Linked DNA regions of Tamandua tetradactyla. The protein of the gene in region 2 purifies or fractionates together with the protein of the main gene of each other region. This does not show direct contact. Links are inferred from orthologs where the notes say so. Each region holds a gene or a part of one and is shown on either strand. Other genes may lie near its edges. The genes, in order: GCN1, ILK, CCT7 and RAF1.

Region 1 (7,624 bases), on a different chromosome or scaffold from region 2:
ATCCCCTATTCCATATTGTTGACACCCCTTTTCAACATTAAAAAAGTTAGAATGGGCATAATCCAAATATCCCTAAAGACTGGGAGAAGGATCAGAAGAGTAGTTATAAAAGCAAAGTTAGGATTTAATAAGTGAATATAATTACTGAATCATATTGATGTTTCTTTTTAATCTTCAGTGACTTGGAGCAGCTAGAAGGAATTACCTGAAATTGTGGATCTGTCACCCATACCAAACTTTGAAATCTGTTCTAAAACTACTCGTTAAAACGTACTTTGAAATCTACTGATTTGTATATATATTTCACAATTAAAAAAAAAAAAAAAGATTCAAAAAGAGTAAAAAATTCTGAGGTTTGCTATAAGAACCAGTCCCTTGCCCTAATTCCCCAGGGGCAACCTCTCTCACCAGTTCTGGTTGAATCTTTTGGTATTTGCTTCCCTCTCTAAATGACTTCCTAGTACCGCTAGGCTTGATTTTTTTAGATTAGTGCCTACTTCCCATACTTTTCTTTCCTTTCCCCAAGCCCCAACTCACCCTACTTATTTCCTCAATGTAATTCCCCAATTTCCTAATATGGGGTAGTTCAGTAATCAGTATCTACATTATATGTAAATAGTATCCATATTTTCATTTCATAAACTATGATTATGCTTCTTATCCTACACAGCTTTCAATTTCCCTGGACTTAGTAACTGCCCTTTCCCATTCCTTGCTTTATCTGTTCTTATCAGTAATCCAACTCCCAACTCTTCGCTATTTGTCTAAATCTTAAGACATTTAGGTAAATCAGTCCCTCTAGCTGAGGAAGGCTCTCCGGGAGTTTTCTGACCTGCCCCATCCTAGACTGGTGATCCTCTACAACTGGGGCACAGTTGATTTTCCTGAAAGCTTCACTCTTTCCTGTGTGTGGGTAAAGCACATTCTCCAGGGACATTCTGAGAAAGGAATGAATGAGAGGTAAATCTGTGGAGTCCTTGCATGTCTAGGGTGAAATTATTTACCTTCAGAATTCCAAAGGCAGTTCTCCATTGTGTCATTTAGAGAGGGAAGCAAATACCAAAATATTCAACCAGAACTGGTGAGAGAGGTTGCCATTCTGACTCCTGATCCTTTGTATGAGACCTGAGGATTTCCTCTTTTGCCCAGGGTTCTAAAATCTCATAATGTGCTTTAATGTGTCTATTTCAATCCACTGTGTTGAGCACTTTGGGTCTGGAAACACATCCTGCAGTTTGGGGAATTTTTCTTGAACTATTTTATTCTGTCAATGATTTCCTCCTCTCCAATATGTTCTACTCCCTCTTATTTGGATACTAGACCCTCTTCTAACCTAGCCCTCACAATGTAGTGATCCTCTGTTTTACACTCTCCAGAGAGAAAATCTCTAGTCTTTTGCCAGAGTGGAGTTGGAGATCTGGGTCTCAATTGCATCTAGAACAGACTTTCAACCAATTCTCCTTCATTTAACTTCTCCTCATTCACCCTTACTTCCAGAGGTTAATGGATATCACCAGTCTTTCAGAAATTCTGCAGTGTACATCAGATTGGTTTGCAGCTTTGCCAAGCGTTGCCTTAGTATTCATTTTTCTTCGGTCTGCTAAGTTCTTTACCATTTATCATGGCTTTCTAGCTTTCCTAAGTTTGCTGCTGTTGTCTGCACTCTCATTCTCTCAATCCTCATGGCATTAAAAAAAAAGCTTTACTAGTTTTAGTGGGTCTGAGGAGCAAAAACAGATGCATAGACACAATACACCATCTCTGTAGAATTCCCACATGGCTGTCTTTCCACGTGATGATATTAAATTTCTGGCTACAGTTTAACGGGTAGTGGGCTTTACAGGTTGAAGGCTCTTTTTCTTTACCAGAAAATGAATGTTACAATTTGAAACATTGTCAGTATGAAACTGAGAGTACCCAAAACCCTTCAATGAGCTCATATGCAAACAGCTTTAACGCTCACAGGTTTCTCTCTGGAGCAGTGTTGTCCAATAGAACTTTCTATGATTAAGTAGCCACCAACCACGTATGTCTACTCTGCCCTTGAAATGTGACTAGCATAACAAAGTAAGTGAATTTCTCATTTTATTTAACTTTAACTAATTTAAATAGCCAGATGGCTATTAATTTAAGTTCCCACGTGGCGAATATTTGGCAACACAGCTCTAGAGGAAAGACATTTTTGCACATGAGCATCGATGTTAAACATTCACCATATATTATATACCTGACCTCTGGAACTATTCAAAAGAGTAAGCTTTTCTTTCTAATTCAATATGACACAACCTGAAACAAATTCCCTCCCTCGAACAGGGGAACCTCAATAACGACCTTTTGAATGTTCAAATAGATAGTCACGCTCTGTTCACTCATCATCCAGGAGACCCAAGTATGCCAAACTGTCCTTTAGATATTCGTTTGTGCTTTTTTTTTATTGTTGTTGTTTTCCCCACCACATTGTCTTTTCAACCTTAAACACTCACAAAGACAACCTTAAACATTGTCTTTTCAACCTTAAAATAACAATCAAGTCTGGAGTGGAGGAAAACGATTTTCCCCAAGTTCTTCCCTGACCTACAAGGTACCACTCAAGGGGAACATAAACAGATACCAATCAAGAGGAATTCCTGGGTAGATACAGTTATTTCATTTAACGCTGGATGTAATGGTAACAGTCACTATATATCGACCCCTACTTTATCTCACTGATCCTCAGGACTACCGTGTAAGGTTTGCGGGGGTTAAGTCACTTGCCCAGCGACTGAGAGCGGCGGCAGTGAACTCAAACCCAGATCTGTCTGCATACAGACAGTGCTATAAGTACTTGCACACAGTAGGTACTCGAAAAACATTTACGCTAACTACAAAGTTAAAGGAGGATCTGGCATTGGCCCAGCGCTCAATGTCGGCGGGCTAAAGGGAAATGGAGCGAAGAATTCAACAGACGAACTTCTGCAACTCCAGTGTACAGGGAGGGCTCCACCAGACTCCAGCGGCCGAAGCCGAGGCCGGAGGTCCTGTCTCCTCCAGCTCCGATCGACTGGCGCCGCCCGAGTCAGGAGCCGGGCCGGACCAGGAGCCCTAAAGGACCAGCAGCAAGCAACCCAGGGGCCGCTCCCCTCGCAACCACCACGTCCCGCGGCCCCTCGCCCCGAGGCCAAGCAGCGGGAGCGACCCGACCTGGAGGCCACCGCCCGCCCTCAGTACGTAGCCTTGTTGGCCCAGCGGCCGCCCCCCTCACCTGCGTGTCCGCCGCCATCCTGCCGGCGCTGACCCCGGAATCATTTCCGGAGCGCTTCCGGGTCACCGCGCGAGCCCACGCGGCAGGGCGAGTCCTGGAGCCGGGGCGGGTACCTGACCTGACGTCCCTGGGCGGGACGGCGATCGTCCCCGGGTCCTGTGAGAGCCCGGACTACAGACCCGGCGGCTTCCCTAGGGCCCGCCCCTCGGCTCCAAATCAAGGTGTCCTCCGCCAGGTCTCGTAGGGAGAGGGTCTGTGAAGATCTGCAATACGGTGAGACCTACCCTGCGGCTTCCAACCCGCAAACATAGCCCGCAAGCCCAGCCTGCGTGGATCGTTCCTGAAATCACATTAAGTATCGTGTCGAGAGCTGCTTGGACGCCTGGAACGCAGCCAGGTACAGAACAGCGACACAGATCCTCAAATTTGCAATCCAGTATTTGTGGAAGGTAGAAAGTAGGGGTTGGTTTGACGGGATTCACACTAGCTGGGAGAGGAGGCTGCCTTTGGGAAATCCTCGATGCTCCACAATGGGAGCTTAAGCCAAGGCAATGACTGGGAAGGCCGACCACCCATGGAAGTTGTCTGAATTTTATTCCTAGAGAGATCTACCTACGTTTATAGAATACAATTTAGAGCATAAGGTCTTCATAGCTTCGTGTCAGCCCTTATTAGCAGGGGCTTTCAAACTTTTAAGACCTAGTTACAATAACATAATATCGTAGCCCAGTATACAAGTCTGTATATAAAAATGAGTTTCACAGCAAATCACCCCAAACCTGGTATTTTGTCTTTTAATACTAGTCACTACCTGCTGATCAATGGATCCCCAAATTGTGAAAGGCACTGCTCTCCAGGATGATACCTGGCATTCCTCCACTGCATACTTAAGGACCTACTGTGTATCTTAGAACAGGCTAGTGGTCAAATGGCCCATAGGAACAAGAATTACAGTCAAAAAAACAAAACGAATTTGGGCAGGCACTGGTGGCTCAGTGGCAGAGTTCTCACCTGCCACGCCAGAACTGGGTTCGATTCCCGGTACCTGCCTATGTAATAAAAAAATAATAATTTAAAAAGGACAGTTTAAGCTGGTTTAGAAAAGTTAGTAAACATCAAAATGTACAATAAAGCATCCAGAGACTTTTAAGAGAAGTAAGCCTTTATTTCCTCATTCACAAATAAAGCTAGTTGAGTTGGCTGCTTTTTGGAGACTAGTCAAAGAGACCAAATCCCATATCCTCGTCCGACTCCTCCGACTCTTCCTTTGCTTCAAGCTTGGCTGGGGCTGCAGCAGCAGCAGCAGGAGCAGCAGTGGTGGTGGCAGCCACAGGGGCAGCAGCCACAAATGCAGATGGATCAGCCAAGAAAGCCTTGACCTGAAAACAAGGGGAGAAGTTAGTGATCATCCAAAACAGTCATTGACAACCCCTCATTATCCACAACCCTCCACCCTAGGTATAAAGACCAATACTTCCAAAGCCTGTGTGTGGTCTTCCCTAACAAGACATGGCAAAGGCTGGATATAGCCTTGTAAGAAGGCCAGCTAGGCCCAGCTCTCACCCATTAAATCTTCCAAGTTTCTGGCCATTCCCAAAGTTAGCATACCTCCTCCCCCACCTCTCAACACCAACCTCACTTACACTCTTAATATACCTACTATGTAAACAATTATAAAAAGGATAAACGCACTAAGCAGCAGGTTGCCCCTGTGATTCTGGTGTTATCTTTTTTTACCTTTTCAGCAAGTGGGAAGGTATAATCAGTCTCCACAGACAAAGCCAGAACTCGCTTGTACCCATTGATGATGGAATGGGGTACTGATGCAACAGTTGGGTAACCAATATGCAGACATACACTGGCAACATTGCGGACACCCTGCAGACAAGGGAGAAATTACATTTTAGGCAAGAACATCCTAGGAATAAAGGCAGGGAAATCCAGATAAAACTAAAGGACAGGGCAGTGTGATGGTGGTTCAGCAGCAGAATTCTTGCCTGCCATGCCAGGGACCCAGGTTCCATTCCCGCTGCCTGCCCAAGTTAAAAATAAATAAATAAATAAAAATAACTAAAGGATACTTGTTAAGTATCTCAAACACAAGAGACCTGTCAATCTCATACCTATCACTCCTGGCAAAGCAATTCAGACCCACTGAGTTACAAATGCTTTTTGCCCTTATTCCCAATCTATGTTCTCTACTGATGGGACTCAAAAGCCACCACAATTTTATGAAAAATATAAACTATCAACAACACCTTTTGAGTTCCATGAAAGAGAATCACTAAACAAATTTCAGACATGAACTTTATATACTCATGGAGATTTCTTTTTAAAACGGGTTAAGGTATTACTTAATTGCAAGTTTTTATTTGACCAATAAAGAAAAAACTATATAAGTATCATCATATTTATTAAAGGCAAACTTAATGGCAAAAGTTAGGGACAATCTCAGAAAAAAGGAAAATCAGTCCTTCCAAGGATACCTGGCACTTATGTAAGAAAGCACTGAATTGTCCATTTTTCTTAATTTCTCACAACTACACAAAATGAGATTTTGCAGCCCCTAGGATAGCCCTTACTATGTGCCCAGCACTGTCTTAAGGCTTCACCTTCATTAATTAAATCCTTCAACAAGCATATATTATTGCAGTTTTACATGAAGAAACAGAGGCAGACAAATTAAACTGTCCTTGGTTATACACCTCATTTAAGTAGCATAGCCAAGATCCAGTCTGATATCAATCATGCTCTTCATCATTAATGGAAGGGACAAGACAGTATGTACCTCCAGGAAGCGGGAGTGCAGAGTTTCCTCTGTGATGTCAAGTACTTCAGGGTTGTAGATGCTGCCATTGTCAAACACCTGCTGGATGATCAGCCCAAAGGAGAAGGGAGAGATGTTCAGCATGTTCAATAGTGTGGCTTCACTGGCTCCCACCTTGTCTCCAGTCTTGATCAGCTGCACATCACTCTGAAGAAAAAGACAGCTGACAGTTAATACCTGGGCATCCAGCAGGCCGAGCCACCAAAAGAATACCCCCTACCTGCCAGCAAAGGCAAGCCAGGTCCACTCACCAGAATTTCGATGGTGCCCCTAGAGATCTTAGTGGTGATGCCTAAAGCCTGGAAGAAGGAGGTTTTCTCGGGCCCCAGACCAGTGTTCTGGGCAGGTACAGTGACCTCGCAAGGGGCAATGGCACCAGCACGGGCAGCAGCTGGTACCTGAACAAAAACAAGAGAGAGTGAGAACAGTCTTCCTGCCACAGAACCAACCTGAGAATGGTCAATTTTGCTTTCAAGGAGCCAAAGTTAACAATAAAGTCTCTTTAACTAACCCGGTCCTCCCCTTACCTTGTTGGCCATCAGCATGTCCCTGATCTCAGTGAGGTCCTCCTTGGTGAACACAAAGCCCACATTCCCCCGGATATGAGGTAACAGTCTGCAAAGACAAGTTTACAGGAGATTATCACCTTTCAGCACCATTCTCCAGGAAAATGGAGAAGGGCACAGGGAAAGGAGGACAGAGCTGGCCAGGAAATTGACTGACTTCTCCAGGGCCGGGTTATTTTCCAGATGCCCTCGGATGGCCTTGCGCATCATGGTGTTCTTGCCCATCAGCACCACAGCCTTCCCCCGGAGGGACATGCGGATCTGCTGCATCTGCTTGGAGCCCACATTGTCTGCTCCCACTATGAAGCATTTTGGATAATCATCCAGAAGTTGCTATAAAAATAAGCCCGAAACAACAGAAGTTCAGCAAGAAAAGAGGAAATAAATGTTAGGAGAAACCAAACCCCACAATCCCTGGCTTTCCATTTCACTCCCTTTCTTCTGAACTTCTGAAATTACTTGGAAATTGGGGCAATTCCTCCCACCAGGAAGCACCTGAGTTAGACCAGTGCCAGAATTGTTGAAACTTGCTGACTCGCTAGGTATGAATGGTGATAGCTAGGTTTCTAAGCTCACCCAAAGTGACAAGTGAACAGGAGTATCTTCCATGAACTATAAAACCATAAAGACCTAAATAAATCTAGTTTTAATTTTTCCCAATTATGAGGCATGTTTCTGATTTCACTAAAATAGCTTTCAAGAGGAATAAAAAACTGCCCCAAAAGACCTAAACAAGAAAGATGAATGTACAGCATCCAAAAAACTACCTAAACAGAGCAAAATGTTAACTGTAGAACCCAGATAGTGGGTTTAAGTGCCCTGAATTTCTGAAAATTTTCACAACAAATGTAGGGGGAAAGAATAGAGCACAGTAAGTTGTAAAATACAGCCTAACCCCCAAAGTACAGCATGGTCAACTTTTCTGAGCCAAGAACACCCACAAAACCATCCAAAAGAAACCATTCAGCAAATAGTCTGTCTGGAAGGATT
Region 2 (8,084 bases):
ATTCTCTCCTTCTTATAAGGACACCAGCCATTTTGGATTAGGGCCCACCCTAATCCAGTTTGGCTTCATTTGAACTAATAACATATTCAATAACTGATTTCCAAATAAGGTCACATTCACAGCACCAGAAGTTAGGACTTGAACATGTTTTGGGGGATACACAAGTTAACCGGACTTTGTCATCCTTGTCTCTCCTTAAGTGAACAAGTACATTGGGTGCATCTCAAATGACAAGCTCTGGGAATACAAAGATAAATATGGCTTGAGAGACTTACAGCCTCATGCATAAAGCAATCACGACTGAGTATTTAAATGCTGAAGTAACATGACAGTTTTTTTTTTGAGCTTTGAGAGCTCACATGAGGAAATTAATTCTGCTTGGGAGCGGGAAACTAGGACACAAGCAGGCTGTTTTGAAGGATGAGTAAATCTTTACCAGTCAGACGGGAATGTCAGCAGAGTTCTAAAATAGCACATGCAAAGGCATTGTGCAGTGGCTCCTCAATGGCTCCAACCATGTCCTTTGCCCTCTAGCCTACCTCAAACCTGTGCCCCTTACTGGAGGTACCCAACTGTCTCAGAGCCCTGGAAGCTATGTCCTTCCAATGGCTACCTACCCTGTTCTTGTTACTGCAGATAGAAGAGACTACATCTTTACCCTGGGATTCAGGCAGATGCCTTCTGGGGGAGGCCTGGGATGGATCATCCCAGCTTATTTGACCCCTAGCGCTAGCCTTCCTTGCCCACAGCTTTCCCTGGATGTGCTGTCCTGGGCTTGATGCAAGACAGAGACAACGGACACTCTGTTCTGCTAATAAATAGCCCTAATCTCCAGCCCAACATGGCATCAACTATTTGTTATTTATGAACAGAGCCCCAGTTGCTTACAAACTCCCTCCAAGCATAGCTGAGAATCCATCAATGATCTCTGAATATCCTATGAAATGTGACTGTTGAAGAGCATATCTTGAGCTCTCCCAGGACCTTCCTTGGTGAACAAATCCATCCTTTATTTTTCAACCTCCATCCCTGCCTTGCAAAGGTCTCCAGAGAACAATGAGGCTTATAACACATCATAGCCACGAATACAATTTATTGAGCCCTCTTATGTTCCCAGCCCTGGTTACAGATTTCCTTAGTTAACACACATAATCACTCCTGAAGACAGGAATCCTTACCACTTTCCAAGAGGACTCTGATATTCAGAGATTAAACGATGCCCAGTTCTAAGTGGCAGGCTGGGTTTCAAATCCAGGTCCACCTGACTCCAAAATCTATGTTTTGACCATACACACCAGGGCACCAGAGGAAAACAGGTGCTGGAAGTAGTTTGGTCCATAAGGCTCCCAAGATGGAGAAGAGGGTAGAGATGAAGCAGCAGAAGTACATGGTACAGGGAATATCCAGGCAGTCTTGGCCCACCACATAGCTATGGGAACAGCCTGCATCTTCCCAGAAGCCCAGACTGTTATGTCATGCCAGGAGGCTGGTGGGCTACCAGTTGCCCCAGAGCCAAAAGCAATACCAGACTGTCTGCAGAGTTGAAGGCCTGGGTACACAAAAGTTGAAGGAGTAAAGGCTATGAGTGAGCACAGGAAGCTGGTCTGCAGAGAGAGGACAGGAAGAGAGGAGAATGGAGATGCTAAGACAGAAAGTTCATGTGGCTCCTGAGAGATGGAATAAGGAGCTAAACTCAAAGATGCCTTGAATCCCAAACCATCTAGACTCCACAAAACCCAAGGGGATCCAGGATACCCAGGTGTCCCTGTGTTTTACATATAAACCCCTATTCTTTAGTGACTTTATACTCGTAATCTAGGAAGGCTGCATTAGATCAGAGGCTGGGCCAGGGGCTTTTATCACTTTGTTCTTTGAATGAGGGCAGGTTGGTATCAGGTCCTGGCTCACAACCTGGTTAAAGTCTTTAGGGTTCTGAGCTGGGAGTTCAAGCCATGCCTCCCCTTTGGAGAGGGTCCAGAGGTCACCTGCGCTTGTAGAGACATGGTTGAAGCTTCAGGCCTGACAGTTGAGCCTTGGGCCCCAACCGAGGGGAGCCAGTCTTTTGGAAGTCAAACAGGAAGAAGTGGCTGTTGGTCAGGTCCTAGGAGCAGAAAAGACTAGTTAGCTCCGTATCTTCCCCCAGCTCCTCAAAACATCTCCCTTCGTTTCCTGTTCCTGTTCAGAATGCTTCCCAGGATTTCTCATGGGTTGTGGCTTTAGGGAACAAATGTCTGTTCCTGTGCCTATGGCCTAGTTTCTACATATCATTCCCCTAAAAAGGGCCACACATCAAACACAAATGGAGACGGACTTCCTGGAGCTCTCACCTTGGAGATGACCTTGAAGCCCAGCTTGGCCACAGCCCCCAGAAAGGCCTGAACATCCTCAAAGCGGCTGCTGACCTCAGCCACTTTCAGGAGACCCCTGGGGACAGAAAGTTCTGTGTAAATGTGTAGACATACACATGCACACATATACATGCATTAGTGTTCTAGGGGCTTACTCTGGCTTCAGCACACGATTTGCCTCCTCCAGGAAGTCCCTGATGTTGGTTCCCATCAGCGAAAGGCAGAACACAGCCACATCCACAGACTCATCCTCTAAAGGGACCTACAGAGAGTGGGAGTATTGTATGAAACACATGGTTGGACACAAGAGGAAGTAGGCACATAGTGTGGGGAGGAGGAGAAAATCTGCACTGAATGCTACGCTTGGCACCTAGGGGATGGAGATGGGGGGTGATTATAGGAATTAGCACATAGAGGTAAGGCCTAGAGGGGTTTACCTGGGCCATGTCACACACAGTGACCCTGGGGTCCAGAGAGGCCAAGTCAAAGCAATGCACAGGGTTCCGGATACTCGAAGCCAGGCGGCAGTCTCCGCAGCCAAAGTCAGCCACCACCAGGGATGCAGGCCTGGGAGTGGGAGTGAGGGGTCACTCACTGGCTTGGTCTGAGCCCATGACTGACCCATATTCTCACAGGTCCCAAACCCCATTCACCGCTGGCGAAGATCCCTGGCGATACGGTCCACAGGCTGCAGTGGCCACTTTTTGACTTGGCTCTGGAAGCCACGGTGGTAGAGAAGAAAGGCCTCAGGATCTTCCTTGAAGAGGCGCTGTGCAGCACTGCTGGGTCCCAAATATAGCTGTTCATTGAGGTAGCGAAATCGGGCACCATCTAGCCGCTGTGCCATGCGGGCTCGCAGAGCTCCTGCCCGATCCTCATGGCTGACTGGTTTAGGGGAAGGAGGCATCTTTGTCTCCTCTGTGGGGGCCAGAGCTGGAGCCTGGGCTGGCGATTGAGGTGGCCGAAACTTGTTCTTATGTCTCCGTTTGTTCTTCTGCCGGTTCCGCCACTGTTTGCGGCTCAAAGTATGGGGGTGTTCAGGGGAAGGGGATCCAGGCCTTGTCTTGTATAGGTCATTTGCAGCACTATCCTTCTGGGCTTTGGGACCTGCAGGGAAGGACACAGGAAGTATTTTGGGGAGGATCTCCCGAATTCAGAGGCTTGGCAAGTCATCTTGGTCATACCCCTGTCCTTGAAATAGGGACTGTGGCCTGGATAAAAGTACCTCTTACTGCCTAATCCCAATCCTAAAGATGGCAGGTAGCTTTTGTCATATGCAAGATCAGCTGAGCTCTCCTTGTCTGTGTGCCCTTCCTTCCCCCACACCACACATACTACATATACTCAATAGTACCTGTTGGATCAACATTGTCCCGGTGCTGGGCAGGGTTTGAAGGGGCCTGTTTCTGACATTTCCTCTTTCTTTTTTTCTCCTCAGCAGAGTCACTGCCAAGAAGAGCCCGTCTGCAGCACTTCCTTCCCACTTCCTTTTCCTCAGAGTCACAGCCAGGTGGGACCTGTTTCTGATGTTTCTTCTTCCTTTTCTCCCCTACTTCAGCAGAGGCACGAGCAGATGAGGCCTTTGGCAGACGTTTCTTCTTCCTGTCCACCTCCGCCTCCTCTGAGTCACTGCCAGGCGGGCTGCGAGGTTGCTGGGGAAGGGCTGCGGCCTCCAGGGCCCGTAACGTGGCCAAGAGCTGGCGGCGCCTGGGGGCCTGGAAGAAAACCAGCCATGAGCGCAGGGGCCTGGAGAACAAGGAGGGAGAGAGAGCGGTCCTCCTACTCAGATGCTGGCAGAAGTGACTAGATGCTTCCTAGTTGATTTAACTAGTTTGTGAAGCCTGCCATACCCTGACCATAACAGACTATGCTTTCCCGCCCCAGGGCCTTTGCACAAGTTTTCCCCATCCAAGGACCCCTCTTTGGGTCACTAACTTCTAATCATCAACAGGTATCTCTCAACTCAAACATTATTTGCTCTTGCAAGTTCCTGAATGTTCATACCAGACGCTGCCCCAATGTCGCCGCAGGTCCATCCCCTCCTCTCCAAAAGACACACACACACACACACACACATCCCCTCCTCTCCAAAACACACACACACACACACACACACACACACACATCCCCTCCTCTCCAAAACACACACACACGGCGTAGCCCTACGCGGGGATTCCACCAGACTCGGTTTCGCGGCCTGAAACCAATGCTCTGCGTGACAACTCCCCTACCTTGGTTTGCGATGCTGCCACAGGCCGAGGGCGTGAAACTACGAGCCCAAGCCTCGTAGCTACTGGGGCCTCCTCGGCCCACTCGGGCTCCTCGAACATGCGGGCCGGGAAGGCCGGGTCGCGGGACCCGCAAGCCTTTCCACGTGCAGAGCCTGCACAAGCCGGAACCGAACCGGAAACCAAAGAGTGAAAGCAGGGGCGGCTAGAGCGGCCGGCGCGGTGCCGGAAACCATAGAGTTTCGACACTTGTGAGCTAGAAGGGCAAAGGAGGAGGCGGGAAGGGAGAGGAGTGACGCCCCGCTGGCCCGCAAGGGGCGGGGGCGGGGCCGGGCGGCGGGCGCGGCCGGACGGGAGTTCCCCGGAGAAGGAGCTTGCAGCCCGAGTCCCGGTGAGTGCGGGGGTATCCGCGCCCCCTCCCCAAGATTGGGGCCCTGCCAATCCGTTACCCCTTACTCCACTTGAGTTTCGAGGAGGAAACGGGTGCCACACCCCGGGAGGACTCCGGATAACCACCCCCAGGCATACGCCTGCTGGACCTTCCCCTCCCCCTCAGTCCTATTCGCGGGTGGGGGTCTCCGTGCCTGCAGGACATCCCTTTTGGAGACGCTACCTCTTTATCACTCCTTATCCCACCCGAACCCGCCTTTCCCTCACTCCCAGAGGGGACAGTCAGGAATTATCCCGCCGCCCCAACTTCTTCCCCTAACCCAGGGATTCGGCGCCCAGACCTCGGCCCCCAACACGAACACTTCTTTCCTGTAGGGGCCAAAGCTTGGGGCTCGTCTCCCTCCCCTGGATCCCTCCACAGCCCCCAGGCCTCCCCAGTCTAGGGGACACAACACCGAGACGCCGCTATGGACGACATTTTCACTCAGTGCCGGGAGGGTAACGCGGTTGCCGTGCGTCTGTGGCTGGACAACACCGAGAACGACCTCAATCAGGGGTGAGCTGAGGCGACTTGGTGGGTGAGAGGAAGGCCAGAGACCTGCCTCTCTCTCCAGCATGGGGTGGTCAGCGGCCGACTTTGCCATCCATTGTAATAAGTGCTAAGCATAGCCTGAGGGAGTGCGGAGGGTCCCCACAGAGGAGGCAGTGTTTGAGCTGAATCTTGACAGATGAATAGAGTTTCTCAGCAGAGGCTGCAGACAGCTTTCTAGTCTCAGTGAACTGTAACCGGCTAAGGGGCAAGAAACATAGCGGAAAGTACCAGGAAATTGTCTCCAGTTCCATGTGGCTAGAGGTTAGAAGACTTTCTGTGGGCTGAAGCACTGGGTACAAGTGGAGAACGACAGGAGATAAGGCTAGAGAAGTCTGCAGAGGTCAGTTAAAACCATGCAAAGGTTATTTTGGCTATAGTAAGGTTTTTATTTGAAGAGTAAGGGTTTAAAGCTGTATAGTGATGTGAAATTGTCCATTTGTTAAGTATCACCTTGGATGCTTGGAGCAGGTGGGAGGAGACAAGAGTGGATATCAGGAGATTATTGCTTAGTCCCAGAAGTGATGACAGCTTGGACTAGAATGTGAGCAGCTGAAAAAGAGAGAAATGATCATATTCTAGAAATCTTTGGGAAGAATTGGTGGGACTTGATATCAAATATGGGGAAGGTCAAAGACGGTGACCAGGGTTCTGGCTTGGACAGCTGGTGGTTCCTTTTAACTGAGATGGAGAAGACTGAAGGAAGATGATGGGTTCCATGCTGGACATGTTAAAGTTAAGGTGACAATACATCCAGGTGGAAGTGCTATGTGCTGCTTACACAGATTTTGTGTACAGGACCGAGATCTGACTTGAAGACACACATTTGGGGGATATTAGTATGTAGATGATTACCAAAACACATGGCTATTAAAGAGAGCCTCAGAAAAGCAGAAGACGAGGTCAGGGAAGTGAAACCTGTGAGGAGACTGAAAAGGAGCATTCAGAGGTTGAATGAGAAGTGGAAATGTGTTAGTAAAGTGTAGAGAAGAGAATGATTCAATGAAATGAGAGTGGTCAACAGTAGTATAGGTTGCTGAGAGGTCAGGAACGTGAACACTCTAAAGTAGCTAATATATATGTCCTATATATTAGGATATATTTGATGATCTTGGTGAGGGCCATTTCAGGAAAGAATAGGTCAAGAAACCAGACTACATTGGGTTTATTCATTTAAGGAAATGTACCAAACATATTCTGTGCTGGTTGTTGGAGGCCCAGCATCAGACATTATCTCTGCCCTCAAGGTGGCAGACTTGTGGCAGGTTGAAAAGTGAATGGGAGTTGAGGAAATAGAGAAAGTGAATGTAGACAAATTGTTTAAAGTTGGCTGAGACTGAAAGGCAAGAAAAGTGGTAATGATGGTGATTCAAGGGGGTGAGAGGGTCACTTTTTTTTTTAAGGTCTGGAGAGTTGTTTTTTAAGAGGTATGGGTCACCTGTCTTAGTCCAGGCTTCACTGGTCCTCTTTAGGTTCTACACAATTTCTTCCTCATAATTTGCAAAGTACAATTGTTCCATTTTTCATAACATCCTCAAAGGGTGCTGTGATGAAGACAAAATTGCTATTTGTTGTTGAGGTTATAAAGGCATAGGCAAAGCTGTACGGTGGGCCTAGCATCCAGGAATAGTCTTCACTGTCAAAAGGTGAAGGGGTGGCATTAGTGAAGGCTTTGGTGTTTGGTTTGAGGGTCCAAGCTGGATATGTACTGGATATGAAGTGGGGTTAATTCCCTGCAGGCCTTCGTGGGATGGGAAGTCCAGGCCCTGAAGTGACAGGCAGCCTTGACAGTAAGCAGAACCTCTGTGCCCATACTTTTGCCCTCAGGCTCTAGAGCCATAGATTACTGGAGGCCTGTAAACCAGGGCACAAATTAAAGAGCTGGGAGGCAGACCAGCTGATAAGCAGGGGGTGATATTTGCTTCTGGGGGATACCAACCTCCATCGAAAACTTTCAGCTATCTCTGTATGGACAGATGAGGAAGCTCAGTAAATTAGAAGTCACACCCTCCCACCTCCATCAGTTGTGGGCGTGTCTGAGTTTAAGGAGCCCATCTGGGGTGGCCTGAACAGGCTGGCTTTCACCCGGCCTAGAGCCCCCACACGGGAAGTGACCACAGCACTAAAGCATGTTCAGGCTGCCAGCCCAGCCCACGGTCCGCCCCCTGCTCCACCCCTTGGATCTGCAGGGAATTTCCTTTTATGGCCCCAGGCTGTCTGTCAGGCAGGCCCAGCTCCCACCCAATTGTGCTTTTTTTGGTATTTTTTAAAAATACTTTCTCTTTATAACACCTGTGCCCTTAAGGAAAAAGAAGAGTCAAGTACAGTTTTTTTTCCAAAGCAGCCATTCTTCATTTTCTGTGCCCAGGATTGCTATTAGTAGGGGAATCTCTGTTTCATGTGATAGTTTATCTGCCCTATCAGTAATGACTTATCAAAAGCATTTCTTCTTTTTGTTATGAACCTCTCCAAAATGCCATTTTAATTCTATTCCATTTTTACATCTTAGTTTCAGTCCCAGAGTCAATT
Region 3 (7,532 bases), on a different chromosome or scaffold from region 2:
CTCCCCAGGAGTCTAAACTACTGTTGCGTAGGGCTTTCTCAACTCTTGAGTAGGAGGCTGAACTGGGATCAGAGACCAGCAGTTATTTATCTTATCTAGGCTTCAATTTCCTCTCTTTAAAACAAAAGTATGGGGCCAGACCAGTGGGCTTTGAGGGCCGCTCCCACCCCTGGTGCTCTTATTGTAGGACACACTTGCAACCCTGATGAGTAGCTTTATTGCTGAAAAGTCAGTGAGGGTTTATGGAGTCCCCAAACACTAGGTCCTTAGACCCCTCCAGCAGCTGCCGGGGCGGGGCCGGGTGGGGGGGGGGGAGAGGCTGTGAAGGGCAAAGTGAAAAGATCCTTACTGAGAGAGGCTGGAGCCAGGTGGAATGTGGCAGGTCACAGGTGACTCTCAGGCCACCTGCTTTTTACCCTTTTTCCATATACTACCCAGACGTCATGGGACCTGGTTCTTGCCTCTTCCTGTAGCATGAGACACTTGGGGCTCTAGGGAAGGAAGGCCAGTAGGGTGGCTTCCCTTCTTCAGCCTAGCCAAGGCCCAGGCCTTTTCTCCTCTATCTGCAGTCCTCCCCCCACCCCCATCCCCAAATGCTCTCCCCAATTCCCAAACAGCAAAATTCCTGGGTTGCCCCTTCCCAGTCCAGAGTTGCTTATGGTTGGAATGTGGGACCAATTCTTCTACCAGAAGGTCCAGGGTGGTTGCAGCAGCTCAAAGGTGGGGATGCTGGTGACATTGACTGGTATGGAAATGATGGCCCATGGCAGCCCATGCTGTTCCAAGGAGCGGCGGATCATGTAGCTGGGAGGGCATGAAGAAAGGTGGTGATGGTCACCCTCTTGGTACCCTGTTATGCCCCAGTGTCCCCATCACTCTAACAATTCCAGAGCTTGACTTTTTTCACCCTGGGGCACCCCAAGATGAGGCCTGAGGGAAGGGACTGGTGATTGCCCTGGGCCTCCACCCTCAGGCTGGTGCTGACAGAATCAGGGATAAGGAGCCCTCACCCATCTCGGCCGAGTAGGAAGAGGGCGGGGATGTCAGCTGTGCGCTGGGTGCTGTCCTGGATCATCTCCACATAGAAGCTGTCATTGTCAACCGCATCATCAGAGATGATCACTGCCCGCCCACCGTGCTCCTGCACCACCCGGGTCTTGGAGAGGAAGGAGCAGCCCCTGGAAGAAGTGAGACAGAAAGACAGGGTTCTAATTAGGCCATCACATGGGTGGATGGAAAAAGCACCATGGAGAATTTTTTTTTTTTAAATAATAGCTCATAAATAAATAGCCAAAAAAAATGTGGAAATTCTTAATACATTTTTAAGACCCTTAAAACAACAAATTGCCCAGAACCACCTGTTTCAAAGAACCACTAACAATGAAGATCCCAGAATCTCCCCTAGGCCCCTCCTTACCCCCTCTCCACCAGAGCGATCTGGTTTTGGATGAAGAAACCGTTGCTGAGTTCCCCACAGGCCTCTGGGGGTTCGGCAGGGACAAGGTGGATCTGTTCATACCTCGTGTGCTGAAAGACGTTGAGCCGGGTGAGAATGTAAAGAGATGCCTGTTTAGGACTAGACTGAAGCTTCTGAATTAATTGCTCCTCACAGCTTGAAGCAAACTTGGAATGGCTGCTCTGTGCCAAGCACTTAAGCATTTTTACTTCACTCCCACAAAGGCCTGTCCTCCCCCACCTTCCCTTGCTATGAGACAGGTGAGGAATGGAAGTGACTTGCCTTAAATCACATATACTAGAGGTAGAGTAATAGAAAGCCGGTGCCCTTGGTTTCTCACTATTTTGTCTGTAAAGAAGAGCTTGTCTTTCTGCAGTGCCCCTAGGAGTAGCTTGAAATGTTTCCTCCTTGCACTGTAACCCATGGAGGGCAGAGCTGAATTCTCTTCCTTTCCCCATCCCAGCCCTTGGCATGTAGCAGCACTCAGGTATTGGTTGAAGGGATGACAGGGACACTGTAACTCAGGGAAGGGGGGATTGAGGATCAGAAAGGAGGGGGCCTCCGTGAACTTACAAAGATCCCACCGAAGTCCTTGGCAGGTGTGGCTGTGAAGATATATCGAATGTCCCCAGGACTCAGCACTTGGAAGTACAAATAATCATGAATGCGTAAACCTGAAGGATAAAGGGTACAGTTGAGAGGCCTCCTGAGTATAAGCTGGTTCAGGTTCAGATCACAGATTCTGTGACTTCAACTGAGCTGGCAACAGTACGGTCCAGGGGCCCTGCCTCAGCAGATTGGACATCCTAGGTGGGTGGGATAGTTGGTCTTTGCACTGGAGACTCGCCATTCTCATATCATCCCCCTAGTCTAATTGCTATCATCTCTTGCCCTGACTGTTCAGCTTGTTAACTGGTCTACCTGTCTCCATTTTTGCTCCTTAAGGCCCATTCTTAAAACAACAGCCAGAGTTAACTTTTAAAACAAATAAAATCATGCCATCACTCACAGGGCTTCAACCTTCAACCACTTCCCTTTGCACTTAATCTTAATTCTAACCATGGTCTGTAATAAGACTCTGCGCAGTCTAACCCCTGGCCTCACCATGTTCAAGCTACACTGGCCTCTTTTATTTTCTTGACCATCCAAACTCTTCACTTCTCTGGATCTTCCTGCAAGCTGCTCCCTCTATCCAGAAGGCTTTCTATCTATACCCCACCCCACCTCCACCTCTTTACCTGGCCCACTCCTAACTCATCTTTTGAATCACAGCTTAGAAAATGTCACTTTCTCAGAGAAAGGCTCTGCCTTATGGCCATTCAAAATGAGATCTGCTTGTACTTTTTCTCCATTGGTGCTTTCAACCTAATTTGTAAGTACATAGTACACTGTCATGATTTTTTGTTTAATATTTGTCTCCTCCACTAGGGCAAGGATAAGACTAGATCCACTCAATGCTGTATCTTCAGTACCTGGGATAGTGGGTGCTCAATAAAGGTTGTTGAATGAACAAATGACAACATTTTCAGCTCCAATATCCCGAGGAAGAGAACTGCTCAAAAACCAGATTTCCCGCGAATGTGGGAACTTCAGCACACAAAGTTTAATGTGTTACCTGGTCTTAAGTCTCTGGTTTCCTTAAACTAGCGAGGTTGAGGATAGTTCCATTAGTCAACAGACTACTAAACCACTAAGGAGTGACAGGCTTGGGACTGGTTGTGGCTTTAGCTGTCCTTATCTAGTGCCCAAATCACAGCCTCCTGGTAGAGTTCATTGGCTTAGTTCTGGGCTACAGCCTTTTATCCTGGGAATGTGGACCCCCTTGGACACACTCCCAGGAAGACTTCCTGCCTTAGGGCTAAATACCCCCCTACCCAATATACAGTCTAGCCTGGCCTCTGCTTAGTCTGCGTAAATTAAGTGTGGGTCTTCGTTTGTTGTGAATATGGGTGTCTACATGTATGTGCTCATGTGGATGCATAGGCTGTATGTACAATTGTTAGGAACGTCTGCTCCTGTATATGGATGTGAGTGTTCACATATGTCTAGAGTGTAGTATCTCCAGCTGTTACTTGTGTCTCCTGGTCACATCCCTCAGTCATCTGGGTCAGCGCGAATATAGGGGCGACAGCTGCTTCGAAGCCAGTAACTGAGGACTCAGGGCCCTACCTCGCGCTGCGCCCAACGCGACTCCCTGGAGACCAGCGCCCGCCCACTCTATTTACCCGGCCCTAGGTCTGCCCCCCACTCACGGGATCCCCAAGGTGACCTGTGGCCCCCGGTCAGAGACGCATGCAAGCTGGACGGCCAGTCCCGCTCCGCGGCGCAACCCCGCCCGTTGCCGCTCACCGTGGGCCGCGACGCACGCAGGGAGCCAGAGCACGAGACAACACCAGCCCGCAGTACCCGGGACCATCTCCAGGGCCGGGCTCGGCCCTGCGCTTCCTCCCGGCACCCCACCGCGAGTCCTTCTCCAGACTTCAGTCTGACAGCTACTCCCGCCTCCCGCCCACGGGCCCGCTCTCTCCGCCTATTGGCGGACGGAAACGAGGTCCACGACTGATTGGCTCTGAATTCTGCTTGTGTAGTCACACTTTCTGCCTCTGCGCCTTTACCCACTTCCTATTGGTCAAGAGAAGGGAGCCCGAGGGCTGATTGGTTTAAACTCTTAACAGCAACTGCCGGCCCTCACCTCGGCCCCGCCCCGCACGTCGTCGTCTGGATTCGCCTTGCCAGGACTTCGCCGACTTGGGGGCTGGACTGAAGGACCCGGGTGGGGTGGGGGAGGTGGCTTCCCTGCGGAACTTGCCTCGGCAGCTGAAAACCTGGCCGTCAGCTCTTGCAGTTTTGGCCGGATCCTCCTCGCATTACAACGATTTGCCGATGTGCTGCCCTCCTCCCAGTCCCCTCGGGAGGCACTTGTCGAGCGACCCTGGCCACCGCCCATCCTCTGGCCACTTCCACCATTTTTGCGCGCTGCTGTTGGGGGTTGCTGGGGACGTGGGCGGCCCAGATCCAATCCAGTGCAAAGCCCGAAAACGCACTGGGGTCGGGTTCCCACGCCTCTCCTCAACCATCGACTTAGCGGTAATTTTGGACACCACCTCTCTGAGACTTGGATCATACTCACCTGTAAAGTGAATATAATAATAGGATTGCGGCAGTAGGAATGGGAGAATTAAACGATTTAGCATAGGCCGGTCCCACAGCTAGCGTTCAATAATAACTTTGCGTTTATTGCACTCCTTGGTCTGACGTCCGGGGTGGGGGAGAGTGGGAACGGAATCAGGATTAGGTGACACGAGCAGAGCAAGGATTGTACGTGCCGGAAGAGAAAATTACGACCGGAACCTCACTACGCTCGGCTAACTAACGCTTCTTGCTGGAGGACCTTGAGCGCTCTCCGAGGCCCAGCCTCTGGTCCTTCTAGCCATGCCTTCTCTGTGGTAGGCGAATCATAGAGTGGCGGAAGTGGCTCGTCCCCTTCCTCTCCCGGGTCAACGGCTTGGCGGAGCTTCTGTGGATTTCTGTGGCGCGGAGAATTGTGGGATTGCTGGACGGCCCGCTCCTGGAGAAGAGAGAAGTGGCGGGCGACCGAATAAGCTTCCAAGATGATGGTGAGTGGCGTGTCGCGCATCCGTTGCCATCCACCGCCATCCGACCCGTGGCTGGCACCTGCTGGCCAGAACTCGCCTCTTAGGGCCCTCTCCTGCTTCCTGGCTGTGTCTTCTCCCCGACCCTTGGTTGTGGACTACCCCGGCCAGGCTTGGCCCGGGTACGGAGGCCGTTGACCCAGGGATATGTGGGGCTCGCGGGGAGGCGCCGGTTGGGCTCGCTGGGGTAGCCCACAGCGTACTCTGGAGCCCCGGTTTTAGGAGTCCCCTTTTCGGGTCCTGTGTGAATCAGCCGCGGGTCGAGCGTGCTTACGCGGTCGACTGCCGGACGTGGAAGTTCGGGCTGCCTTAAAAAATGTGAAATGTAAAAACATTGTGTGTTTCCGAGAATGGGCGCTGGCAGTATGAAACCTCCACTCATGGTTTCATTCATTCATTCACTCACTCATTAAATACATGCATATTTAGTGCCTATTTAATGCAACAAGTCCGGCTGTTCGCTCGGCGTGCAATTGCGCAGCCAGGAGAATGAGCAGGGCAGGTAGGGACAACGCACTCAGAGGTGGGGAGACCCAGACTTCGACCCTCGCCCTGTCTGCACCTCCTGATGTGACATTAGACTGGGCTTTTTTAGTTGGTCACCTAACTCGGGGTCTCCTCTTCATCTCAGAGCTGCAAATGCCTTCAGTAGGTCCCAAGCCTGTCATGTATCTGATGAGTTGCTTTTGAGCAGGACATCTGGAGAGGTTTTTGCTCTCAAAACGCTGATTAAGATATTATCCCCTTGCACGTGGCAATTTACTCATTCATTTTGGTCTGTCCATCCAATTCAGTCTCTGTTTTTTTCCTGCTTCCTTCAGCTTTCCCTCTTTTGGTAGATGTCAGTCTCCTATAAGGTGCTCAGTGCCTCCAGCTTGTGCCCAACACAGAAGAAAGCTGAGCTTTATCTGAACCATCTCCCCACATCGTACCTCCAGCACCTTTTTCTTTCATATCTTCAACATTACCTATGCATGAACTCATCTAGCAATTGAAAGTAAGGGCTTTGGAGTCACACTGAATGCCTAGGTGTGTAACTCAGCTCTGCCACTTAGTAGCCATGAGTCTTTGAACATGTTATTTAGGATTTGGTTCTCAATCAGATGGGATAGCAATAAGTAGGGTGCTGTTATAAGGGATTAAGTGTATCAGCAACATACAGAATAGACTGCTTAGAGCCATGCCTATATGTATGTTAGCTGTTATTCTGGGTAGTTGGTTGCTTACTTCCTTTCCTCCCTGTAAACCTTCCTGCTGTGGTATGGGTTGGCATTCCAAGCACTGGGGATTAGAACAAAAGTTCTTTGGTGATAAGATCCTTCGCCAGGGGGCTTCAGTCTACCATGCTCGAATTTTTACCTGAGCAGACCCTTATTCATTCATCTCTATCAGTTGTCCTGCTCTATTGACTGTTGAAACTTGTCTTTCTTTGGGGGTGCAAAACTTCTTTTTCACCAAGAGCCTACCCTTCTGTCATCAAATTGGTCCCTGGTGTTATAGAAGCCTTCTAGAATAGTACAAGGGATTCTCCAGACCTCAGTCGTGTGACTGTTGTACAGCTTGCTCATCAAGTAGTTGCTTGTGGTGGTGAGCACCATCTGTCTTTGCCTATAAGCACCTGATCTGATTTTATAGACCATTAAGCTTAATGATGCAAAAACCGTTTTTAAAGAGGATGAGGAGAAAGATCAAGCTAAAATTCCTAAGCCTTTCATGATAACCTTGGCGGATTGCTGGATTCTTCTGTTATTTCTTGAAGAGTAAAATGAGTGATATTGAAAAGTAACTTGGGGACAGAAGCTGGGCTTGTCATAGCTAGTAAAGGACTCTTCCTTCTTGACTGAATTTGGCTTACTCTAGCTCTGCCATCTTTAACTTTCCATAGGATCTCTCCTCTACTCAACTAGCCATTTCTGTAGGGCCTAAAAGCATATGGAATTTGGGGAGTATATGATCAAGTGCTTCCAAGTCCCTCCTCTCCTCCTATCTCTTCAAATGTTTTTTATTGTTAAATATAACATATATACAGAGAAAAAAAGAAAAAGCAATGATTTTCAAAGTACACTTCAACAAGTAGATACAGAACAGATTTCAGAATTTGTTAAGGGTTGCCATTCCTCCCCCCCATTTCTGCCATTTTTAAGTGGTATTAATTACAAGCATAATGTTGTGCTACCATCACCACCATCTATTGCTAAAAGTTTTCCATTATCTCTAACAGAATATTGTTTCATGTATGGCCGAATCTAGGTATTCTGCAAATCAAGGTGACTTGTTGGGTAGCTCATACTTTAAGATGGATAATTATATAAAAGTTGTAAGCAAGGGGAAACAAAGAGTATGGGATCCCTGTTCAAGATGCTGGAGCTCTGAGGAATTGCTGAGGTAAGAAAGTGCTTTTGGTAGGAACTTTGGTACAGGTT
Region 4 (7,925 bases), on a different chromosome or scaffold from region 2:
GCTGAACACCTCATATTTTTCTCAGTCTTTCACTAGCAAAACTTCATAACTCATCGGAAATGAGAAAGGAATCACGAAAAGAATCTGAACATTTAATAACATGCCCATTGTCTCATACAATGTCTTCATCGTATAAATGGTTAAAAAATGACATTGAAAGCTGTGTGCAAGGAATGTTTATTGCATCAATTTTTTTCACTTCAGTTCCTTGTTTCAAGAAGGCCGATGATGTTCAAGGTTTCTCTCTCAACTGGGAAGGTACCTCGTGAACATGGCAGCGTCCACTGGCTTTTTCATGGCTCCATAAAAAGGCTAAGGACTTTATTTTAATTTTAAATCTCATGAGTCTTTAGGGCAGAGATTGGGAAGTGATGGCCCAAGAGCTGAATCTTCTCCCTAGGCCCTCACAGTGTATTTTGTTCGTTTGTTTGTTTTAACATATAACTTTACGGTCACCCATGACTTCTCTGTTTCTCTCACCCCTCCTTCCTCTCTCTTCCCACCCCATCCACTTCTAAGCCATTGGAGAATCAACCATCATTGGCTCAACCTTCAAAATGTAGCCAAGCATCCAACCACTTCTCACCATCTCCACCACCTCTACTGGTCTGAGCCACCGTGACTACCTCTCGCCTGGACTTTCTGATACTTCCTGTTTTCCCCACTTCCACTCTTGATTTCTTAAGTCTGATCTCAGTACAGCAGCCACACACAGGTGTTTTAACTTAAAAAGCTGCGTCCCATGACTCTCATATTGCTCAGAGTAAAAGCCAAAGCTTTTCAAAACAAGGGAGTTCTTCCAAAAGTCTACAAGACCCTGTACCATCTTTCGTCCTGGCCTTCTGACCTCATCTTCTACCTCTCACTCTTCACTAGATCCACCCCAGCCACACTGGCCTCCTTGCTGCTCCTCGGACAAGCACTAACTATTCTCTCTGCCTGAAGTGCCCTTCCCCCAGACATCTCCATGGCTCACTCTGAGTCTTTGCTCAAATGTCACCTCTCAGTGAGGCCACCCTCTTTCATTTTGTAACCTGCCCCCTCCCAGTCCCCTTCACCCAGCTTTATTTTTTCCCAAAGCATTTATTCACAAATTACATATTTTACTTATTTATTATGATTTTTATTATTTTTTAATATCTCCTCTTTCTAGAATGTGTGTTCCTTCAGGGCAGGTACTGCTGTCTGTTTTGTTTAATGATGTGTCCAAGCACCTAGGATAGTACTCTGTACATAATTCAGTGCTCAATAAATATTTATAGAATGAATAAAAAAATAAAAGTCTGATTTTTGACTAAAAAAAAAAAAGACAAAACCCTAAGAGCCACCACCACTGGGTTGCAGCCCTCTCTGGTAACCATTGTGGTGGCTGAGTGGTAGCTGCCTGCTTTAGATGGGACCTACATTTCCAAAGGGCCATAGCTCCCCACCCCATGTCCACTTTACTCATTCATCTCATCTGCCTAGTACCTGCAGGCACTTGAGTTTGCAATCCCTGTTACCAGATGCTTTGGGATCTCTGAAGAGGAGAACAGAATACATGGAGCCTCCCAATTTTTCAGGCCATAGAAGCTTTTGCTGAAATGACCTTTATCAACCTGCAGGCAGCGGGAGAAAAGGTGAACATCAGCTGTTTGCTGAACTGACAAGGGTGAGGGGAGTTAACACAAAGGATGGGGAGGCCCTGGAGTCATTTTCCTCCCCATGATAGGGGTTGGGAGCTCCCTGACAGCTGGGGGAAAGTCTGATTCAACTCTATCTCTTCCACAGGCTTTCAAATCAGGGATGGTGGGAAGGGCTGGTCTGGCAGTCAGAATAAGCTCCCTGATTCTGCACTGGGTGACCTGGCTTGAGTCATTGAACATTTTGAGTCTCTAGTCCCTCATCTAAAAAACGAAGGTGTAGCCATCTTTCCAGATCAGCTGTGAGGTCTGAATAAGGCATAGTCTTCTTGAGCTTTCTAAGCTGCAAAATGCTTGGAAAATACCATCTGGAGGAAATTAAAGGAAGGCATGACCTGGGAATGAGCCAAGTGTGACCCTGTCACTCTGCCTCACCCGATGATGCTGATGCTGATGACAATGGTGGTGATGATAAGTGATAGCTTTAATTATAGTTAACTGTATTTAATGTTACTACTACAGGCCAGGCACTATTCTAAGTGCTTTACACCTTAAATTCACTAAATTCTTACAACTTTTAAAAACTATCACATTTTTGTTACAGATGAGGATACTGAGAAACTGAGAGGTTTAAGTGACTTCCCCGAGTCCCAGATCAGGAAGTGGCAGTGTTCGGATTTGAACTCAGGCAGGCTGGCTACATGTTACTGAAGTCTCAACCGTCTGGCGGTGTGCTAAATGCTCTCCACACAACACAATCTTATTTAATTCTATGAGGTAAGAGTTATTGTTATCACTCTTATTGGAAAAAAAATACCCCATTCAGGGTTCTCTCCACATTCCATGCCTCAGTTTTCCCCTGGCTTTTATTTTCATGCAGGATCACATGTTCCTGCCTATCCTGATTTGCTAGCTACGGAAAGCAATATACCAGAAACAGAACGGCTTTTAAAAAGGGGAATTTAATAAGTTGCTAGTTTACAGTTCTAAGGCTGAGATAATGTTCCAGTTAAAGTAAGCCTATAGAAATGTCCAATCAAAGGCATCCAGGGAAAGATACCTTGGTTCAAGAAGTCTGATGAAGTTCACGGTTTCTCTCTCAAGTGAGAAGGCACATGGTGAACACAATCAGAGTTTCTCTCTCATCTGGAAGGGCACATGGCGAACATGGTGTCATCTGCTAGCTTTTTCTCCTGGCTTCCTGCTTCATGAAGCTCCCCAGGAGGCATTTACTTCTTCACCTCCAAAGATAGCTGGTTGGTAAACTCTCTGCTTCTGGTGGGTATGTCATTCTCTGCTCTCTCAAAAATCTCTCTCATTCTCCAAAATGTTTCCTTTTTTATAGGACTCCAGAAACTAATCAAGACCCACCCAAATGTGTGGAGATACGCCTTAACCTAATCCAGTTTAACAACCACTCTTGATTAAATCACATTTCCAGGGAGATTATCTAATTACAGTTTCATACATACAAAATTGAATAGGGATTAGAAGACACAGCTGCCTTCACAAAATGGGATTAGGATTAAGACATGTCTCTTCTAGGGTACATACAACATTTCAAACCAGCACACTGCCCTTAACTCCTTACCTTCCTTCATTTTTCCTTGTAGTGCACATATTCCTACCTGAATTTACACATTTTTTCTTCCCATTACTAGGAGACAGGGATTTTGATTATTGTTGATTTCCTAATACCTAAACGCTATGTGTGGTATGTAACAGGCTGTCAATAAATAGTTAAAAGAATGAATGTAACATGTAGCTTTGTATGCATGTGCTTGCATAAAAGCCTTTTTTTTTTTGTTTTACTTCATATCTTGGAGGGTTTTTGTTTGCTTTTATCAGTATATAGATTTAGTGTATTGTTTTAAACAGTTGGGATATTCCACACTGTGGGTGTGGCATCATTTAACCAGTTTCCTATTTAATCTACATTTTTCTATTGTTTCTCTAATCCAAACAATATGGCAATAAACATCTCTGCACATACCATTTTGCGCGAGTGTGAACGTATTTCTCTAGAACGAGTGCCTATAAATGGAACTGCCGGGAGCATGGGCGCTTACATTTAAAATGTTAATAATAATCCCAAATTGCCCTCCCTATTCACTCCTGCCACTGCTGTATGAGGATACGTGACAGGTGTGCATATACCTAGGACCAAACTGGATATCAGTCCTTTAACTTTTTGCCAGTCTGATGGGAGTTGGTGGAGGTGGGGATGAACCTCATTTACAACTGAGGTAACTGCGGCTCAGAAAGGTTTAGGAATTTTCCCAGGCAACTGGTAAGTGGCGGAGCCATGATTCGGCATCGGATGTGAGACTGTTGAGAGGAGGCACCATAGCTGGATACTGTCCTCTCTGCACGTGTACATGTGGTCATCTCTGAGACTCAACATGCTGACAAGCACGCAATTCTCGGCCAGGCCGCTTTCTCTCCCCATCCAGGCCTTGGGGCTCTCCCCGGGAGCTACACTCGAAAGCTCCTCGCTCCCCTGGCAACCTGCTCGGTTCCAAAATGGCGGCTGCAGCAGTCGGGAGCTCGAGGCCACGCCCCTTCCCCAGGGGGCGGGCCTTGAGATCAGGCCCAGCGATCGATGCCGGAGCCAAGCTCTAAGTGGGGCCTTCAGGCGGCTGGAGCCGCAGCAGAGTCGGAGGCCCCGCAGGTCGGGAGGAAGAGTACCGAGCGGAAGGCTCGCTTGCCGGGGCTGTCCGAGAGTCTCTTCATCGCGGGCACTGTGGCCGCCATTTTAGATGGCGGGAGTGAAACGAGAGCGAGCGTAAAGCGGGACGTCTTCCCTTCTGCTCTCCTCCGGCCCTTGGCCGGGCTTTGGGGCGTGTGCCCTGAGGCGCGGAGCGTGAGTGGGACGATGCGGGGTCTGCCCGGGGCCCCGTCCCCCGGGCTGGGGACGCGCCGAATGTGACCGCCTCCCGCTCCCTCACCCACCGCGGGGAGGAGGAGCGGACGAGACGCCGCCGCTGGACGTCGGGACACCCGGGCGCCCCGTCTCCCTCAGGTAGGCGGCCGGGCCTGGCCCGGCCCTGGACGCCGGGGGAGCGAGGCCGGGTTTCCCTGGAGCCGGGCGGGGGCGGCGCTGACTGAGCGACCCGGCAGCTGCCGGGCTGAGGGCCCGGGCCAGGCCGCTGTCACCCCGGGTGGCGCTGGGCGGGTGGGGGGCCCGGTGTCATGGCCGGCGACCCGAGTTCCCACATCCCCACTCAGATTTCGTTGTGTGTCGGGGAAACGTTTCAGTGCCACCTACGTGCCCAGTGCACATTCCTCATGTTTTGGCCGTGGGAAAATCCACCCAGAGCTTCGCCGTATCGTTGTCATTAGGACAGACTTGTTTCTTTTATATCTGGCGGCGGAGTTGGGGACTATGCTTTCGCCTTCTCTCCGGGTTCATCACTAAGTAACACCCTCTTAGGGAAGACGAAAGGAATCCGGGAAGAGAAAAGGAAATGGGTCAGTGCCTCACCACAAAGACAGAAGGGCCTCGCCTTGGTTTCAGGACTCTGTGGGTTATTAATGAAAGGTTTGGGATGCTTAGACTGAGGATTGGTCCCGGGATGCTTTGGAAGGGAGAACCAGGGCTATCTTCTGTGCCAAGGAAGAGCCGCCAGGATGGTTCACTTCTGTAACTGCAGAGAATCTGCAGAGCTAGTCGATGCCCGGAGACCAAGAGGAGTTTGGACGTCGTGAGAGACGAGGCGGCTCTGTGTTCATTCATTGTTCTTTTTCCAGGACTCTGGGTGTGCCCTCTGGTATTCGTTCTCTGGTGGGAAGAATGATAGGATCTCGTTTGTCTCCTTGAGATGCGATCTGGTTCCAGGGGGTCACGCAGTCTAAGTAGAGAAGGAATTCCTTGCACATTCACATAGCATTTCTGCCTGCCTTGACTCTAATGACTGAGGGAGGAAGTCTCCTTTTCGTTGCGCTCCCAAGACGAGAGAAGAAAGCCTTGTGATGAGGTTTGGCTTTCCGAATGCTATGGAAACTTGGAACACCTAGTTCTGCCTGGGGGAGCTAAGGAAGCTTGTACACTTCAGGGGACTTTTGCCCGGAGTTTTGAAGGATTGATGAGTAAGTCCTCACCAGGTAGGAGGAGGGGAAAGGCATTTTCTAAGCTGAGATATAAAGGCATAGAAGCTGCCGGAGTTGGGATGAGTTTAGGGAGGAGCAAATAGTCTGCCGGGAGAAATGGTGAGAGTTGAGAATCCAAAAGAAAAGTTGCTAGATTGGGAAGGGTTTTTCTTTATTGGAGGTAGCGGTCAATTAATTGATTTAATTTGGATTCTTCTAAATTGGTGGTGTTGTTTCGTTGTTCTTACCGAAAACTCGTTTCTCTCCCCTCCCTTCATGATTTTGAAACTAACAGTAATTTTTGAAAAGATTTACTTTGTTTAACCCAGTTAAGAGCATTTTTGATAAATGGTTTAGATAAAATGTTTTGCATTTATGCAACGGTGAATGGACTGCGCTCATATTCCTAGGGAATTTTGCAAAACATTTTTCTCACGTTAATGCTTGCTCATTAACGTGACACACAAAAAAGTGAATTTTTAAATGTCGCACACACTGTTAATTCTCAGGTTTAAGTGGCTGTTTCACAACATAAACAATGTTTCCAGTCATACAGAAATTGGCAGATTATATATAACATCCAAAAAAGTGTAGAATGCAAATGACTATTTTTAGCTTAATAGATGTGTTTTACGTTGTAAAATGGGTCTTCGGGTTCCACTTCTCGTATCCTGGTTCCAATTCTCATATAAAATCTGAAGCTCTATGAACATAATTTTCCTAAAATAGTTGTGTTATTGTGATTAATTCTTATGCTAAAGTTGCTATTAACATATTAACAGACTTCAGCTGGTAGTTCCCACATCTTTCTTAAAGGATTGTGATTATATACCACTGAAGAACATTAAGTCTTTGGCTGGCTGTCACCCTTATCATGTCAAGGGCTAAGCTGTTTAAAATGCAACAGAAACATTTGACCCAGTTGAACAATGGATAGTTGGGAGTACAAACCTATTACTGTTTCTGTTCTGAAAATGTATCTATTCGGTGTGTGGCGTTTGTGATTATAAATCGTAGTAATCTTAAGCTCTTGTCCATAGTTGGAAAACTTTTCGTCTTCAAAGTAGAAGGCTGGAATGAAATATTTGAGGGTATTTTATGGGATTTAATTTAGCAGAAAGAAAACTTAAGTGAAAAGCTGATTAAGCCTGTCATTTATGACAAAAAGTATCTAGAAGATGAAATAGAGAATGGTTACACATCCGGTACCTTAGAATTGCTGTGAACCTTGTTGCTTTTAGTTTAAAACATGCCATTTGTGAAGTCCAATGTAGGTGGTTTGCTCTGAAGATTAAAAAAATGACTTCATACTTCTTGTATGTTAAATTTGACTTTTCTAGAAGCTCTAGATTACTTATGAAATAGGAAATAAAAGTAATAGCTTCATTTACTGTTTCAAGTGTCCAGTTAGTAGATGTATGAGTCTATATTTTAATTTCAGATAAAACATTGCTAGTGACCTGTAGCCTAAAAATAGGAAAATATTACACAAGGGAATACTTTTATTTGCATGTTAGAGACATAATAGGCCCTACACAATAATACTATTCTTGGGAGGAGCTTGTTTGCCAAGCAACATGCCTTAACGTTGACTTGCAGATGAGAATTTTAAATATTGCCTTTGAAAGGTGGTAGACTAATGTAACAGTGGAGTGGGGGAAGAGGGATGGTGTACTGAGCTTTGACTTGAAAAGCTTTTAGATCATGGAAGTAATTTCTTCAAAACAAATAACCGTAGTTGGAAAATTGCTTACCTTGACGAAATTAATTGGAAAGTCAAGGAACATTGGCTTCGTTCAGGATTTAAGTCATAATTTACTCTGTGTGAGTGTGTATGCATGCGTATGGGCGCCGTGTGCTCGTGCATGCCGTGAGTGTATGTGCCTATGGATAGGTAAGAATTCCTCGTTGCTCATCTGGGTTAAAAAAATGTAATACTAGCTATTTGTGTCACAGTTCAGTTGGTACCCCTTGTATATGGCTACGCTACTGTGCTGGTTTGAAAGGATATATGCCCCCTAAGAAAAGCCATGTTTTAATATAAATCCCATTTCATAAAGGTAGAATAATCCCTATTCAATACTGTATATTTGAAACTGTAATGAGATCATCTCCCTGGTTGATGTGATTTAGTCAAGAATGGTTGTTTAACTGGATTAGGGGATGACATGTCTCCACCCATTTGAGTGGGTCTTGATTGGTTTACTGGAGTCC

The links.
Region 1: the proteins of ILK (region 2) and GCN1 purify together in Homo sapiens (affinity purification with mass spectrometry; 3 studies listed by BioGRID and IntAct, with this or other methods). This does not show direct contact. The link is inferred for Tamandua tetradactyla from reciprocal best matches to the Homo sapiens genes ILK and GCN1.
Region 3: the proteins of ILK (region 2) and CCT7 purify together in Homo sapiens (affinity purification with mass spectrometry; 4 studies listed by BioGRID and IntAct, with this or other methods). This does not show direct contact. The link is inferred for Tamandua tetradactyla from reciprocal best matches to the Homo sapiens genes ILK and CCT7.
Region 4: the proteins of ILK (region 2) and RAF1 purify together in Homo sapiens (affinity purification with mass spectrometry; 3 studies listed by BioGRID and IntAct, with this or other methods). This does not show direct contact. The link is inferred for Tamandua tetradactyla from reciprocal best matches to the Homo sapiens genes ILK and RAF1.

The regions. Positions count from the first base shown.
Region 1 is NC_135331.1:20,497,430-20,505,053, forward strand, and holds the start of GCN1 (stalled ribosome sensor GCN1), read right to left. Parts: upstream 3,285-7,624; 5' UTR 3,260-3,284; coding exon 3,242-3,259; intron 1-3,241. Other genes in the region: RPLP0 (large ribosomal subunit protein uL10), read right to left, coding at 4,456-4,620, 4,979-5,119, 6,030-6,215, 6,320-6,466, 6,596-6,683, 6,792-6,967. UniProt on the Homo sapiens protein: Ribosome collision sensor that plays a key role in the RNF14-RNF25 translation quality control pathway, a pathway that takes place when a ribosome has stalled during translation, and which promotes ubiquitination and degradation of translation factors on stalled ribosomes.
Region 2 is NC_135334.1:80,042,024-80,050,107, forward strand, and holds the start of ILK (scaffold protein ILK), read left to right. Parts: upstream 1-4,855; 5' UTR 4,856-4,967; intron 4,968-5,341; 5' UTR 5,342-5,433; coding exon 5,434-5,522; intron 5,523-7,294; exon of another isoform or gene 7,295-7,345; intron 7,346-8,084. Other genes in the region: RRP8 (ribosomal RNA-processing protein 8), read right to left, coding at 1,982-2,101, 2,328-2,424, 2,504-2,610, 2,786-2,915, 3,002-3,455, 3,703-4,063, 4,580-4,678. UniProt on the Homo sapiens protein: Scaffold protein which mediates protein-protein interactions during a range of cellular events including focal adhesion assembly, cell adhesion and cell migration.
Region 3 is NC_135343.1:46,877,385-46,884,916, forward strand, and holds the start of CCT7 (T-complex protein 1 subunit eta), read left to right. Parts: upstream 1-4,197; 5' UTR 4,198-5,067; coding exon 5,068-5,073; intron 5,074-7,532. Other genes in the region: PRADC1 (protease-associated domain-containing protein 1), read right to left, coding at 684-804, 1,011-1,178, 1,418-1,527, 2,030-2,130, 3,806-3,872. UniProt on the Homo sapiens protein: Component of the chaperonin-containing T-complex (TRiC), a molecular chaperone complex that assists the folding of actin, tubulin and other proteins upon ATP hydrolysis.
Region 4 is NC_135335.1:36,145,951-36,153,875, forward strand, and holds the start of RAF1 (RAF proto-oncogene serine/threonine-protein kinase), read left to right. Parts: upstream 1-4,533; 5' UTR 4,534-4,644; intron 4,645-7,925. UniProt on the Homo sapiens protein: Serine/threonine-protein kinase that acts as a regulatory link between the membrane-associated Ras GTPases and the MAPK/ERK cascade, and this critical regulatory link functions as a switch determining cell fate decisions including proliferation, differentiation, apoptosis, survival and oncogenic transformation.